Rattus norvegicus: one gene and its partners. The protein of the gene in region 1 interacts with the protein of each later gene in a pairwise test. Links are inferred from orthologs where the notes say so. Each region holds a gene or a part of one and is shown in the gene's direction. Other genes may lie near its edges.

Region 1 (4,002 bases):
ACACACACACTATCATCATACAGTCACACACACACGTCTGTACAGTCACACAATCATCTGTACAGACAGACAGACACACACACAGTCTGTACAGTCACACACAGTCATCTGTACAGATACACACACTGTCATCGTACAGTTACACACACACACACTATCATCATACAGTCACACACACGTCTGTACAGTCACACACACACACACAGTCTGTACAGTCACACACAGTCATCTGTACAGATACACACACTATCATCGTACAGTTACACACACACACACACTATCATCATACAGTCACACACACGACTGTACAGTCACACAATCATCTGTACAGACACACACACACACAGTCTGTACAGTCACACACAGTCATCTGTACAGATACACACACTATCAACGTACAGTTACACACACACACACTATCATCATACAGTCACACACACACGTCTGTACAGTCACACACACACAGTCTGTACAGTCACACACAGTCATCTGTACAGATACACACACTATCATCGTACAGTTACACACACACACACACTATCATCATACAGTCACAGACACACGTCTGTACAGTCACACACACACAGTCTGTACAGCCACACACAGTCATCTGTACAGATACACACACTATCATCGTACAGTTACACACACACACACTATCATCATACAGTCACACACACACGTCTGTACAGTCACACACACACACAAGTCTGTACAGTCACACACACACACAATCATCACCATACAGTCACACATACACACGTCTGTACAGTCACACACATACACACATCTGTACAGTCACACACGCACACACACACACACACACACACACAGCTGTACAGTCCTGCCTTCCTCCTCCTCAGGGCTCCCTCTCTCTTCATCTTCTCCCAAGTAGTCCCGCTCTGACCAACCCAGGGGATCTGGATCTCTCTGGCTGGTTTCTGGTCCTAGCCACCAGCTCTGGGCCTCCTATCCAGATTTGGCCCAGGCTCCATGTGGCCTGTCTGAGAGGCTGGCCTCAAGCCCGGCAGCAACTCCACATTTCTCTGTTTTTCCTCCCCCCCCCCTCTTTCCCGGAGTTAACAAGAAGCAGATGTGGCTCACGATGGTTGGAGAGGTGGGGGAGGAAGGGGGAGGCTGGACCGCCAGCCAGACAGGGGGAAGGGAGGGGAGAGAAGGGAGGGAGGGAGAAGGCTGGCCCGCACCATAGTCACTCTTGTGCCTCTCAACAGCCACAGGGGCAAAGCTCTGTCATCTTTAGGATCCAGTCACCAGGGAACAAAACAGGGAGACCAGAAGAGGGCCAGCTGGAGCCAGGGGGTGGAGGCTCAGGAAGCAGTTTCTGAAAGGGGCAGGGACCAGGCACAGGAGGCCAGGGGCCCGGAGAACAGACTCCCCTCAGAAGTGCAGAAGAGGAGAGCGGAAGGAACTGAGGGAGGGACAGACAGGAGCCTGAGGAGGAAAGAGGAGGGGGAAAGAGGGGTCAGGCCCAGCAGCCAAGGAGGAGGCGTGCAGCTGGGGGCTGCAGGCAGGAAGCTAGGGACAGAGCTGGCTCAGCGTGCTGTCCCCTGAAGCAGCGGCATCCCCTGGAAGCACGGGTACAGGCATCATTGGTCAGACCAAGATGTGTCTCTAAGGGTAGCAAGGAACACCTCACCATGGCCCCCAGAATCCTCTGGAGCTGCTATCTCTGCTGTCTGCTGACCATTGCCACAGAAGCTGCCAGCTACCCTCCTCGGGGCTACAGCCTGTACACAGGGGGCAGTGGGGCCCTCAGTCCTGGGGGACCCCAGGCCCAGAACTCACCCCGGCCTGCCAGCCGCCACAGGTAAGAGTCTGTGTCCCAGCCAGGGCTGGAAGCTATGGTTGGGAAAGTCTTTAGAAGGTGGGCAACGGGCTTAATGCAATGAGAAGGGCAGCATGGAGGCCCATCCATCAATGTGCCGCCCATATGAACCTCCCAGTGGAACTTTTTCCAGGCTTTGGTGGCCTAAGGGCCATCAGCTCTGACCTCTTCCCTCTTCCCTCTTCCCTCTTTCCTATGGAGGTCTGCAGTTCGGTGCCCAGGGAAACTACACCAAGGGCCATGGACCCTCCTTCCTGCCAGCTGCCAGCTGTGTGCCAGCCAGCTCTGGATCAGGCAGACCTTTTGTCCTTCTCTAGGGCTTCCCTGGCCCCGTCCGCTAGTGTATAATTCTGACACTCCTCCTGCTCTGTTCCCTCTGGCATCGCAGCAGCCCATAGCCTAGAAGCCAGTGTGAATGGGGCCAAGAGGGCAGCACCACAAGCCCCAAGGGGACAGAGCCCATCAGTAGCTCATTCTTTGCTTAAGCATAGGCCGGACATTTGCCTGCCCCGCTCTTCTCCTGGAGGGTTGGGTGGGAGCACCGTGTGCAGAAGATCATCTACAGGAACCCAGCTGGTCGGCTTACACAGCTGGGGTTTGAGATAGGCCCAAAAAAGTACACAAGAGACCGTGGATTCTAGGGTGCTCTGGGACCCCACAGTCAGGAGGACTGACGTCTCTGTGTGTTTGTATCCTTATGTCTTCCCTGTCTTGAAAAGTCTTTATCTGCTATAGTGACATAAGAAAGTGTGTGTGTGTGTGTGTGTGTGTGTGAGAGAGAGAGAGGGGGGGGGGAATGGTGCTGCCCCTGCAAAAACCCTACCTTTCAGTGGGTCCTCAAGGCCCCCTTCATCTTTTGACCCTCCTTCAGCCTCTGGGCCCACTGGGGCTTGTGTCTTTGGTCCCTTGGCCCAGGTAGGGTTGTGCCTACAGGAACTGGTGTGCCTACGTGGTGACTCGGACAGTGAGCTGCGTCCTTGAGGATGGAGTGGAGACCTTTGTCAAGCCAGACTATCAACCCTGTGGCTGGGGCCAGCCCCAGTGTCCTCGAAGTATCATGTGAGCCCCCAACTTTAAAGGATTGGGTACTCAGTGGGATCTGGGCAAGGGGAGGCAGCTGGTGGTCATTTAGGGGGTCTGTACAAAGGAGGGAGCAGGGGAAAGGATAAGACTTCAGTCAGAACCGTTTTGAGAGGATAGTGGAGCTTGGTTGGTGAGCTGCCCCAGGCATTCTTTCCCTGTCTCCAGCCTTCAGGTCTTCTGCTGACACAGGTCAGCCTCAAAGAGATTAGCTCAGGGTTCCAGCACAGAGAAAGGGGAGAAAGAGCCAGGATCTAACCCAGGGCTAAAAAGCCGATAGCTGGAAAAAAAAAAAAAAAAAAAGCTGATAGCTGTTGAATGACCAGGGCCACATAGTGGCCAGAGAGGTAGATCTAGCCTGAAGCACAAGGTGACAGGAGAGAATACGAAACCTTCCTTTCCTTTGCCTAGGTAGAAACCTTCCTTTCCTTTGCCTAGGTACCGCAGCTTCCTTCGCCCTCGCTACCGGGTGGCCTACAAGACGGTGACAGACATGGAGTGGAGGTGCTGTCAGGGGTATGGGGGCGATGACTGCGGAGAGGGTCCTGCTTCTGTTCTGGGCCCTGCACCCTCCACACCACTTCCCCGGCCCAGGCCTGCGCGTCCCAACCTGTCTGGCTCCAGTGCCGGCAGCCACCTCAGTGGACTAGGAGGAGAAGGTGAGTCTGCATGTTGCCCGGGATGGGGAAATCCTGAGTGGAAAATGTGGGGCTCCGCTGTGGAGGGTGGGAAACCCCTGAGCTCTAAACTAGGGGGAAGGTGGACCGAACGGAGATAATGACATCCCTGAGACTTCGCATGTTTGTGTGCTTGTGTGATTTGAGTGTGTTTGACGGGAGGGGCAGGGGGGAGAGAGCAGGAGTTGGGAGAGACTGATTCAAAGACCTGAAAACTTAAGAACTGAGTAAGAAGGCATAGAGACAATTTGTTCACATACTCCCTCTTGTGGCCAAGGTCCTTCCTACTCGGGAACTGCTGTGGGAGAAGCGGGGGTAATTCCCTTGAGAAGCTCTAGCTGTCCGCAGGGAAGAGAGTTAAGACTACAAATCCTAGCATGCATTGCACCTGACTACAGG
Region 2 (4,006 bases), on another chromosome or scaffold:
AACCTTAATCTTCAAGGTTTTACTTTCATGTTTTCTCTGTAAAAATTTTCCATTATTTTTCAGATTAGAAGTAAATTCTAGATTCCACAATTTGTAATTAAAATAATGTGTCAGATGAGGAAGAAAATGAACAAATCCAGTCTGGAAAATACCTTCACATTACTTTGCCTCATTCCCTTAGCATTCGTTGCTAGTTGTTTTTCTTTTGCACATAAATTGGAATTGCAGGAGTGATTTAAGAAGGGAAAATTTTTAGGAGAGACCAGAACACAATCAAGGGCAAACACTGTGCAGTCTGACCAGCTTCACTTTGCACACTCGAAAGTCAGCTACCTCGCTGTTCTTAGATACTGCATGGTGAGAATTTTCACGGCTAACAAAGTAAGAGCAGGCCAGGACTCAAACATAATTCTTATTCTGGGATAAAGCAGAAAGACGGAAAGCGAGAAGGGGGAAATTACAACAGCAAAAGTCTGTCATTGCACTGTCCTTGAGCAGTTCAGCTAGACTGTACTTAGCCGGGATGCTATGAAGTCGTGACCAATATACTTAGCAAGGTCTTTGATTTCCGGCTTTGCTACAGATTAACTGAGCTGTTTCTGCAGTTACTAGAGTCCTTCACAGGGCGAGGATTAAAAAGTTTCTCTTTGCATCCTTTTAGAATACGCTGTTCTTGGTTAAAATCATGGCGTTCTCAAAGGGTCTAAGGAATAGAGCCCCGTGTCCCTTCCAGACACTAGAAGGCTATTTCTCGATCACAACCACTACTTCGATCCTACATTTGACATCTCTTCGTAACCAATCCCTGATAATAACCACCAATTATAGCAAACGCCCAGAAGAGCTCTTGAGGGACACCACTCAAGCGGATCCCCGCAGGTCAGTGACATCTTTTTGTCCTGCCTTTTCCGATGAGGAGTATTTGAAGGGCAAGGATTGCGCCCGTAGATGATGAGAGTTCTTTTTTCCCCCGCTCCGTTGTAGGAACATAAAGTCATTGTTTCTGGCTGTGTTCCACCGGATCTAACAAAGGACCAACTTCCGGTCCGGCTTCTAAGTCTTCCGAGTCTTGAGTGCCTCTAATTCTGCACGGAGTTACTGCCGGGTGCAGCGTCCAGTAGCTACTTCCGCCAGAAGTCCCTAGCTGCTCGAGCTCGGATGCTACCCCGACACCAGGTCCGTCTCCTCCGCAGCCCGCCGGTCAGGGGCCGGTGGCAGCAGAAAGTGCAAGGCCTGGCGTGAAGCCTTCTCTGCGCCGAGTGCAGGCCAGTGGTGCCGAAGAGACTCGGGGAAGTGACCAGGGCGGTGCCCTCAGGCCTTAACGCACCCGCCCAATAGGGGCGGGGCTCGACCTCCCGGACCCGCCCAGCCGAGGCGCTAGGTCTGCGGATTAACCGCCCTGCGTCTGCGGGAGTAGGCCTCCCTCCGCTAGAGACATGGAGTTTGCGGAGCTGATTAAGACCCCGCGGGTGGACAATGTGGTGCTGCACCGGCCTTTCTACCCCGCTGTGGAAGGGACCCTATGTCTGACGGGCCACCACCTGATCCTGTCTTCCCGGCAGGACAACACTGAGGAGCTCTGGCTCCTCCATTCAAATATCGACGCCATTGACAAACGGTGAGCGCCTACCACACCCAGGTCCGTGAGGAGCCAGGAACAGAACAGACGCTTTCAGGTGTTTTATTTTTGGCATCCTCGCTCAGCCAGCCAAATGAGCCTCCTGTGGCCTACATTTGAAAGCCAACTGCACTGGCTACCTGGCATCTCCAGGCTAAGGTCTCAGAGTCGCAGCGGTCGTATTTTCAGTGTTCTCCGTAAAAAAAATTTCTCTCATCACATTTCTTGAATGTTCCTTGCCAGTTTTCGAATTGCTAGTTGCCAATCTGACTTTACCAAGTTGTAATTAAATACAATTTAATTCTCCCCTGCCTCCGGCCCCCAACGCGCCGCCGTTCTTAAATAGGCATGCTCACCCCTTTTCAGCCCAGGCCAGTCTTGAACTTCCTACTCTCCAGCCTCAGCCTCCCAAGTAAGTGCTGGAATTACAGCTGTGTGTGTATGGGCCACTATGCCTGGCTATAGTTCTTAACTGAGTACACTGCATTACTTTTCCATATGCGCATTTTATTCTCCTTTAAAGGTTTAAAGATCATTAAGGTGTCAGCCTCCCACTCTGTACTCTTTACCTGTGCAAAAGAGTGCCTCAGAGTCAAACAGTTACATATACTTTGATTTGCGCTTAGTTTCTCTGCTTTGTCGGTGTCCCTATGAACCCTGTGTACTCTAGGCAGAAGGCAAATTATATAATTCATTATGAAGTGTGTGTAACAACATACTGTCTACTGCTTGATTAAATATTTTGGATGTTACGATTTCTACAGAGATTATGCCTTAGGACCATCTGAAGTCATAGTGTTGGATGAAGAGGTTGCAGGCCAGCCATCCATCCATCCATCCCAGCAGCAGGCTACTACTCTTTGTGGCATAAGTGTATTCACTGGTCTCTCATGCCTGCATGATAAAGGCTGAATCCCTGGCTCTCCATGTTCTGGTTCTCACCTACTGTCCTCACTGGTTTTCTTACCATTCTCATGATTTGTCATTTCTTACAGATTTGTGGGCTCTCTGGGTACTATTATCATAAAATGTAAAGATTTCCGAATAATTCAGTTGGATATTCCTGGAATGGAGGAGTGTTTAAATATAGCCAGTTCCATCGAGGTAAGTATTTTGCAGGCAAAATTCTGATAGGAAAATGGCAATATTCTGATTCTGTACAGCCCTTGACACATGAGAAAAATCACGTTTACTCTGCAAATCTTGATACTTGATGAAGGCAGTTTGTGAACTGTTTTTGTGTTTCAGTGGCTTTCTTGAAAGAACATACCATGTGGAATTCTAAGCCACTAAAACAAATACAATGTAGCTAGATGGTGGACTTGTTACAGTCAGTGGGCTTTACAGTGAGCTGGTGTGATTGATCTTCCTGAGTTTAGTGTATCTTTGGAACCCTTGAACTCTGAGCAGTACTCCTAATACTGTGATTGTTGTAGTAGTGGGGTCCTGTTAGCACGGGCCCATGAATGAAGTACCTCACCTCTCACAGTTAGCCCACAGTGTCTCATAAAGCGAGAATAACTTTACGGGCCTTTTAGGGTGTTGTACGATTACATTCGTGGGCATATGTAGAATGCTTAGTATAATACTTGGCAAGTGGTTGCTGCATTGGAGGGCCCTTCTATGGCAACATTTTTATTCTGAGACTTTGTGATAGAAGTAGCTATGTCACATAAAGTTCAGTGTCATAACCGTTTCTCAGCTTACCATTGTGTCAAAAGTGTATTCACAGTGTTGTGTAATAGACTAAAGCAAGTGATTGTCACCAACAGCTGTCATCCGTGACTTTAGCACATCTGCAAGTGTGCATTTGTTTTCACTAGTCCACCTGAGGCATGTCTGTTTATGCATGTATAAGAGCTTTGGACATTGGTCAAACATAGAAACATTGGTCCAAATGGCCACACATAGGAACGTTGCTTGGATAGTTTAAGGGCTCTGATGAAGGCCTCACACTCCCTTTCCTCCTTCTAACTATTTCGGTACACACCCCAACTTTTAAATTGCCTCATTTTAAATTGCTAACACCAAATTATATCAGCTATATCAACTGATTCTGTTTAAAGTGATTTCTAGATAATTTTGTTTTCTTTCTGTATAACTGACTTATTGGGCTTTATTTTTCTTTAAAAAAAAAGTGGATTAAGCTCTTAAAAGAAGAGAGAAAGCCTTAAATCTATAATTAGAATTTGGTTTGGCTTTAAACAAGAAGTAGAGGATCGGGTGATGTGTTATTGAGGAAGTGAATACAAACCTCTCTGCTTTTGCCAGGTTCTGCTTGTAGAAATGAACGTGTACGTTGAAAAGTCTGCCATACACAGTTGTCACTTGGAAGTGTGATCTTGGCTTGGCTATACTCCCCAACAAGAATTAGAAAGCAAACTGAGA
Region 3 (4,092 bases), on another chromosome or scaffold:
ATAAGCGATTTCACTTTTGCTCTGGAACTCAGTCCAAACCAATGACCTCTTATGAGTTTTAATTGACATTTATGCTCCCACTCAAATTCAGAAGAAAACCTAATACCGAGACCATTTGTTTTTATTTTTCAAAAAATAGACAATTAATTTATTTATTTACTTTACATCCCAACATCAACACCTCCTCTCCTCCTAGTCCCACTCTCTTATATGTCCTCTGCCCTCCCCTTCTCCTCTGAGAAGGGGTAACCCAACCCTGGGAATCACCCCCCTTCCCATGTACCAGTCACTGTAGCCTGTACTTTCTAATTGGGCTGACAACACAAAAGAAACCCTTATCTTTTTTTTTTTTTTTTTTTTTTAAGACAGGGTCTCATATGGTTCTGGTGTCATTGTAAACTGGGTCCTATCACCACCACCACCCCCCCCACCCCACCCCCGCCCTCCCTGGCCCAGACAGGTTTTTTCCTGTATAGTCATGGCTGTCCTGGAACTCTGGCCACAAACTCACAGAGATCCTCTTGCCTCTGCCTCCTGAGTGCTGGGATTAAAGGCCTGCACCGCCGCCAACCCGGCCGCCCCATCACTACTCTTGATGCAAAGAATTTTGCTTCTGCCACTGTGTGTCATTTTAGACCGAGCTATGGGTTAATACGTACTGATACAGGGCACCACTATGTAGAAGGCCCTGATATCTCTTTGCTGTCTTCCACTCTTCCACAGCTCTGTGCTCAAGTGCCGCCCAGCTATGGAGTAACTCGTTCTTGGTATAGGATTAGGGGACACTACCATTCTTGACAGAAGCCAGCTATTTTTCTGGCAAAGGAAATGCACACATCTAGCGGGAGTGTTTGTTTACAAAATCTTCACAACAAAAACAAAGCTTAGAAGAAAACTTTCAAGCGTCATAAAATCCAACCCAGGAAGCAGCTTTTCCAGCTTCCTGGTCTGTCTTGTGCTGGTGTCAAACTTTGTAACCGTCTAGCAAATTACAGAGGGAATTTGCGTAGAGAGCCCTGGTTTCCATACAGTTTTTTTCAACAGCGCGTTCCGCAGAATGCACACAAATAAGCTTTTCAAAGCAGGTCTTGGAATTACTGCCAGTATAGAAACAGCAGCAATGGCGCCCGGGACGAGGTCCGCAGGGCAAGGAGCAGAAGCATCCTGTTTCTGAAATAAACGAAAGTGAAAGAACGGCCTGTGACTGAGCCTGCTCATTGCAGAGGCCAGGTTTGTGTTTCCGAGGTGGGGTTCGGTTCTACCGGCGCTGCCGGCTTCCGAGCGCTGCGCGGCAGAGAGGGTGAGTGCTTGTCCCACCGGATGGTCCTCTGCGTCCCTGCTGTCCCACCACCCTCGCTCAGGGATGCTCCACCCCGCGCGCTCAGAGGGCGGAGGACTGCGGCTTCCAGCCCAGCATTGTGGGCCTCAGGGTCCCCAGTGCTCTGTCTGGGGACTCACCTGCTCCGGGCTCTCAGCCTTGGGTTGCTTCCCTTCCTGGGAAAAGGAAAGTTATAGTCACTGGGACTGGCTCCAGCATGTTCTTAGTAAAATGGCTTTCCCGGGAAGACTATTATTCATTTTTCCTTGTTAGGTGCTGAATTCTGTAGTCACGCCTCACTTTTTCAGAATATGTAAGATTTTTTGTTTTGTTTTGGGAGGAGATGTTGAAGGGAAAATACTTAATAAATTTCTAGGAGGCCACTGGTTTGGACTAAGAGGACTCCTGTTCCAGAGGCATCCAAGCTAACTTGTGTGCCTCTGAAGGAAACTTTTCCTGTGTCCGGTCCAGCCAGGAGAGAGGGGAATCAGCAGGTTTCACTGGGCCAGAGAATGAAATCACCTCTCCTTTAATCGTCACATAAAGTTGCTGGACATTCACCAGTCCCTTATTGTGTTCCGGTCTCCCTGGCCCTGTCTCACAGAGAACTTAACTCTGAATCAATATGTTCACTTCCTGCTTTTTCAGCTTTCTTCCCTGCCTATAAACCAAACTTCTGCACAGCAACGAAAACAGTCGAGGCAACTGCTTTCTATTTACACTGTGCTGGCTTTGAACTCTTGATCCTCTTGTTACAGAGCTGTGCCACCACCCAGATAGACCAGTTACTTTATTGTACTCAATCAACTGTCCCCTGATTATAAAAGAAATACAATTAGGATCTTTTAATTGTTAAAATTGTATCCATCTTTTGACATGTTTCAGGTGTATACAGCATGGATACATTATATTTTCTTCCTTTCTTTATGCTGCCGGGAACTCGGTGTATTGCATCACCCCATCTTTGGACATGTTTCAGGTGTATACAGCATGGATACATTGTATTTTCTTCCTTTCTTTATGTTGCCAGGAACTCGGTGTATTGCATCACCATGATATAAGTATACTTAGGAAAATGAGATAATAGTTTATTTTTTTAAGTTTACTGCCATAATTAATTACATGGCCTTGGTGGCTTATACACACATGCGCCTGCATGGACACACTTTTTAATTTAAAACTATTTACTTTTAGTACCACTTTAAAACGAGATGTGTGCCTGTGTATGTCTGTGTGTCTGTCAGTTGTCAGGGTCTGTGCGTCTCCCTGGGAAAGTAAAGGGGCTAGCAGAGCTGTCTTCTGTCCTGGGAGCTCTTGGGACGAACTCCTTCCACTTTCTGGATCAGCCTTCTTTGCTTGGCTTGGCATTCCGTCTCCCATTTCCAAAGTCAGGATCAGCATTGCTTCTCTGATCGTGTTTTTGCCTCCTATCTCAGTCTAATGCTGATGTTATCCCCTCCTTTAATCTAGAGGAGTTTCTGGTTAGGTGAAGTTTTCACATACAATGCAGCATAATCTCTATATTGTGTGTGTGTGTGTGTGTGTGTGTGTGTGTGTGTGTGTGTGTGTGTGTACATACCTGAATGCACCTGTGGAGGCCAGAGATAGAACTCTGGATATTGTCTTCTCTTTTGCTCCACTTTAATTTCTGAGTCAGGGTCTCTCAGTGGACCTGTAGTCTTGGCTACACTGTCTGACAGCAAGTCTCAGAATGCACTGCACCTTGCCCAGGATGGGAAGTACCAGTGCTTACCCAGCAAGCTCTTTACCCTGGAGCCATCTCTTCAGCTCCTACCTCCGTATTTTACAATCAGCCTCCTGAATTCAGTTTGCAGCCTTAAATCTTCTCTGCAGTGTAACGTTTTTCCCAAGTTCTTGGGACTAGAACATGGATGTCTTTGAAGGGGTCATTTTTCTGCTTAGTATAAGATTGCTTGAAAGGGAAGAATTACCATACATTCCTCACAGTGTGAAAGGGAAAAATATTCAGATGAGAAATGCGATGAAGATATTCTGGGGGTGTTATGCAATAGACCACTTACATCAAGAGCTTTTAAAAATATTGGTGCTTTGGGCTGGAGAGATGGCCCAGCAGTTAAGAGCAGAGACTGCTCTCCTGAGTTCAGTTCCCAGTAACCACATGGTGACTCACAACCATCTGTAATAGGATCTGATGCCCTCTTCTGGTGTGTCTGAAGACAGCGACAGGGTACTCACATACATGAAATAAATAAATCTTAAAAAAAAAAATCTAAAAAAAATGTTTAAAAAAAGAGTGTTGGTGTTTTAATATTTAAAAACAATTGTAATTTCTCTCTTAAGAAATGTAATAAGAGGGGTTGGGGATTTAGCTCAGTGGTAGAGCACTTGCTTAGCAAGCGCAAGGCCCTGGGTTCTGTCCCCAGCTCCGAAAAAAAGGAAAAAAAAGAAATGTAATAAGAGGAGTTCATGTCTATATGGACATGAATATATATGAATATGAATATATATTTTACTGGGCAGAAAAATATCCAATATAAAATACACAGTATAGTATGCACAGTATAGTATAGTTCTTGGTTGCATAGGTTCCTGCCCTGAATGCAAGCAGGAGTGCCTGCCTGTAGTCCCAGTCTGTAGGTATTCGTTGCTTACTTAAAGTGACACATATAATTAAAGTGCCTTGTAAGCAATAAAGAAGAACTAATGTCTTCTGGGGAGGTCAGAAAAGGCTTCAGGAACCTTATGGAGGTTTGCTATGACCCTCGAAGAACCAAAGAATTTCATCTGGTGGA
Region 4 (3,168 bases), on another chromosome or scaffold:
GGAGGAGGCAGAGGTAGGGAAGATCACCCCAAGTTTGAGGCCTGTTAAATATAGCTAGCTCCAGTCCATTAGGGACTACATACTGAGAACCTGTCACGCACACCAAAAATTCATATAAAATGATGACTTCTCTCTGTAGAAACCATTCCAGACCTGTTTTAAAGCATTAGTTTGTATTCAGCAAGAGTCTTTTATTTTTAAATAAAAGATTGAAACAGACTAATACAATGTGTTTCAAAACTGACATGCAAAACTTAGAGAAGATATTTTCTGCTTGATGGCATAAGCAGCATTTTGTTTTCATTTTGCAGAATGAAGCATTTCTTTCAAAACTGAAAACTCACCAGCCTTGGTAGTGCAGGCCTTTAACCTTAGCTACAAGGGAAGCTGACATAGGAGGACTGAAATTCAACAACATAGACAGGCTTTTTTTTATGTTTAAGTAGTGTGTGTATTGGGGGGCAGGGGTTGAAGCGCTTTGTAAATACACCTCAGGAGATGAGAGCTTCTCCAGCAATTATTAAACTAGAGAATCAATCCCCAGCATTTCAGAAAGAAGTGGTCCTTATAATTTTGAATTTTCTAAAGCATGCTGATCGTGTGTGTACTCGCGCATGCATCCCTGCGCGGGGACGTGTACGTGTGTGTGTGTGTGTGTGTGTGTGTGTGTGTGTGTGTGTGTGTGTGTGCGCGCGCGCGCGCGCGCGTGTGTTTTAAGGAAATAAAGAGAAATATATACAGTCTATCCCACTCTCCACCTCCTGGTGTCTCATGGGGAGAAATCCTGGAGAAAACATTTGTATAAGGTGGAGAGGAATCTCAAAGAAGGCCAAAGCCAAGACCTGGCTATAGTGGGAGGGAGAGATGGAGGATGGTGCAGACTCTCCCTGGTAACAGGGAAGGGAGATGTCCAACCTCCTGACGGTGATGCCACTTGTGGTTCCTCAGATTGGTGCGGATCCGGATGAGTGACGGGTGGGGCCCGAGGTGAGCGCTGGCGGCGGGCGGCGGGGGCGGGGCCTCCTGTCGCACTGGCCTCCTGAGCTGGGGGAGCGAGCTTGGCAGTGACGCGAGGCCCTCACGTGACCCGGGGCTGCAGAGCGACGCAGCCTTGGGTGCAGTCGTCACTCGCGTCTGGCCACCAGCTCAGAGCTTGTCTGCGCGCGGCGGGCTGGCATCGGGCCCAAGGCGAGCGGGGCAGGTAAGGGGCCTGCACGCAGCGGCCCTGAAGGCGACAGCCAGGCGTCGGGCGGGCGCGCACCCCGGGACGGTGCAGCGGCTCGGCGGCTTTGTGCATCGCGGAGGGAACCCCGGCTGCGTCCGGGAAGGGGCGCCCCCGCTCAGGGGCGGGAACGGCGCGGGGGTCCCGGGAAAGGGGCGGCTGGACCTGCCGGCCTGCGGGCAGCGGAGAGCGCTAGCCAGGGAGAGCCGGGATGGGGCAGGGCTGCTGGAGATCGTGGGCGACCGCTGCGGGTAGGGGGATGGGCGGTGGGTCTGGGGAAGGGGGTGCGGTGCGGAGCCCGCGCCGAGTCCTTCCCATCCCACCCCGTCTGCAGGTCTGCTAGCCGGGAGTCGCGGAGGCGCGTCTCGCAGAGAGGATTGAGAGGAGGACTACGCGGCAAGGGATAGGCCCAGGTCCGTTCAGGGGCAGTGTGTGTTTTGTTGGGGGTAGGGGGAAGCCCCGTCTAGGACCCCAGTGAAAACCCCCACCTCACACTACTCTCCATCTCAGTCCTCCATTTTGGTGCCTCAAAGCTCAGGGAAAGGATCCTGGGAAATAAAAATGGTGGGCTTTGGGGGAGGGAGGGAAAAGAGAGCTGGGGGGTGGGAGGAGGGACTCGAAATGGAGGTTCCGTAGAGGTTGCCTGGAGACCCTAAGATGGGGAAAAATAATAATGAAAACCCTTGCAGTTAGTCTCTGAATTTTGCTGGTCACAGCACCAAGCATTCAGTTTTTTTCCTTGCCCTCTCTTACTTGTGTTCAAAGAATAACAACCCGAAAACAAAATCTCATCATGGCCAATATCCACCAGGAAAACGAAGAAATGGAGCAGCCCCTGCAGAATGGACAGGAAGACCGCCCCGTGGGAGGAGGTGAGGGCCACCAGCCTGCTGCAAACAACAACAACCACAACCATAACCACAACCACAACCACAACCACAACCACAATCATCACCGGAGAGGACAGGCCCGCCGACTTGCCCCTAACTTTCGATGGGCCATTCCCAACAGGCAGATGAATGATGGGTTGGGTGGAGATGGAGATGATATGGAAATGTTCATGGAGGAGATGAGAGAGATCCGGAGAAAGCTTAGGGAGCTGCAGTTGAGAAATTGTCTGCGTATTCTTATGGGGGAGCTCTCTAATCACCACGACCATCACGATGAATTCTGCCTTATGCCTTGACTTCGGTCATTTCCCCTGAGATTCATACTGTGATTCCCGCTGTATTCCTAGCCCTTGCATTTTCCTGACATGCCTTTAAATGACCCGTTTGTGGTGAGCCTTGTGTTATTTCCATGTGCCAGGCGGGGCTTGTGTTGCCAACTTATAATTGGAAATTGCCTTCCCACTCAGTGTGAGTTTCTGTCAACAGTACAGTGTTGCCCATTTGCATGGAAAAAATGTAAAGTCAATAAAGCAACTGAAAAGCAACCTGGGTAATCATTATTGTCTCCTTAAAGCATAAATACCTAGAGTAAAAAATGAGCTACAAAAACTCTGAAAGTGTTGGGGGGACACGTATAACTTTCCTTTTATTTGGGGCTTCATAAACTTTTGGGGTATAAGTTTATGAATCTAGTGCAGGTTTATAGAATTATTTGCTCAACAAACTTAAAGAGTAAATCCTCTTGGTGAAGATAGAATTTCTTAAAATTGTCCAATATGGTTTAGATTTTTAAGCCCCCAGCCGTCCCTAAATAGTTGGGGTAAACTGAGGAATATCTTCAGATCTTGTCCATTTTCCCAATTCCATACAGGAAAAGGAGGTGGGTTCCTCCATGTCATCTGTATGCTGCAATCCTTTTTCGGTTACAGGTATGCGATTTGGGTACACATTCCCTTCTGAATCTATACCTATAGGCCTTAGCACAGCTCAATTTGACTGAAGTATGTAGTGAGAGGTATGATAGGGTAGAAAAACGTCTATAGCTTGATATCCAGG

Evidence for each region.
Region 2: the proteins of Emilin1 (region 1) and Mtmr9 interact in binary tests that used the Homo sapiens proteins (3 or more experiments, as listed by UniProt). The link is inferred for Rattus norvegicus from reciprocal best matches to the Homo sapiens genes EMILIN1 and MTMR9.
Region 3: the proteins of Emilin1 (region 1) and Nmi interact in binary tests that used the Homo sapiens proteins (3 or more experiments, as listed by UniProt). The two-hybrid records come from large-scale screens. The link is inferred for Rattus norvegicus from reciprocal best matches to the Homo sapiens genes EMILIN1 and NMI.
Region 4: the proteins of Emilin1 (region 1) and Bex3 interact in binary tests that used the Homo sapiens proteins (3 or more experiments, as listed by UniProt). The two-hybrid records come from large-scale screens. The link is inferred for Rattus norvegicus from reciprocal best matches to the Homo sapiens genes EMILIN1 and BEX3.

Annotation. Positions count from the first base shown.
Region 1 is NC_086024.1:31,180,857-31,184,858, reverse strand, and holds the start of Emilin1 (EMILIN-1 isoform 1 precursor), read left to right. Parts: upstream 1-1,201; 5' UTR 1,202-1,658; coding exon 1,659-1,828; intron 1,829-2,063; exon of another isoform or gene 2,064-2,531; intron 2,532-2,779; coding exon 2,780-2,905; intron 2,906-3,337; exon of another isoform or gene 3,338-3,364; coding exon 3,365-3,585; intron 3,586-4,002. UniProt on the Homo sapiens protein: Involved in elastic and collagen fibers formation. It is required for EFEMP2 deposition into the extracellular matrix, and collagen network assembly and cross-linking via protein-lysine 6-oxidase/LOX activity.
Region 2 is NC_086033.1:41,964,326-41,968,331, reverse strand, and holds the start of Mtmr9 (myotubularin-related protein 9), read left to right. Parts: upstream 1-1,195; 5' UTR 1,196-1,436; coding exon 1,437-1,618; intron 1,619-2,613; coding exon 2,614-2,722; intron 2,723-4,006. UniProt on the Homo sapiens protein: Acts as an adapter for myotubularin-related phosphatases. Increases lipid phosphatase MTMR6 catalytic activity, specifically towards phosphatidylinositol 3,5-bisphosphate and MTMR6 binding affinity for phosphorylated phosphatidylinositols.
Region 3 is NC_086021.1:56,845,733-56,849,824, reverse strand, and holds the start of Nmi (N-myc-interactor), read left to right. Parts: upstream 1-1,281; 5' UTR 1,282-1,300; intron 1,301-4,092. UniProt on the Homo sapiens protein: Acts as a signaling pathway regulator involved in innate immune system response.
Region 4 is NC_086039.1:104,063,769-104,066,936, forward strand, and holds Bex3 (protein BEX3), read left to right. Parts: upstream 1-1,127; 5' UTR 1,128-1,201; intron 1,202-1,237; exon of another isoform or gene 1,238-1,473; intron 1,474-1,556; 5' UTR 1,557-1,635; intron 1,636-1,987; 5' UTR 1,988-2,015; coding exon 2,016-2,408; 3' UTR 2,409-2,657; downstream 2,658-3,168. UniProt on the Homo sapiens protein: May be a signaling adapter molecule involved in NGFR/p75NTR-mediated apoptosis induced by NGF. Plays a role in zinc-triggered neuronal death.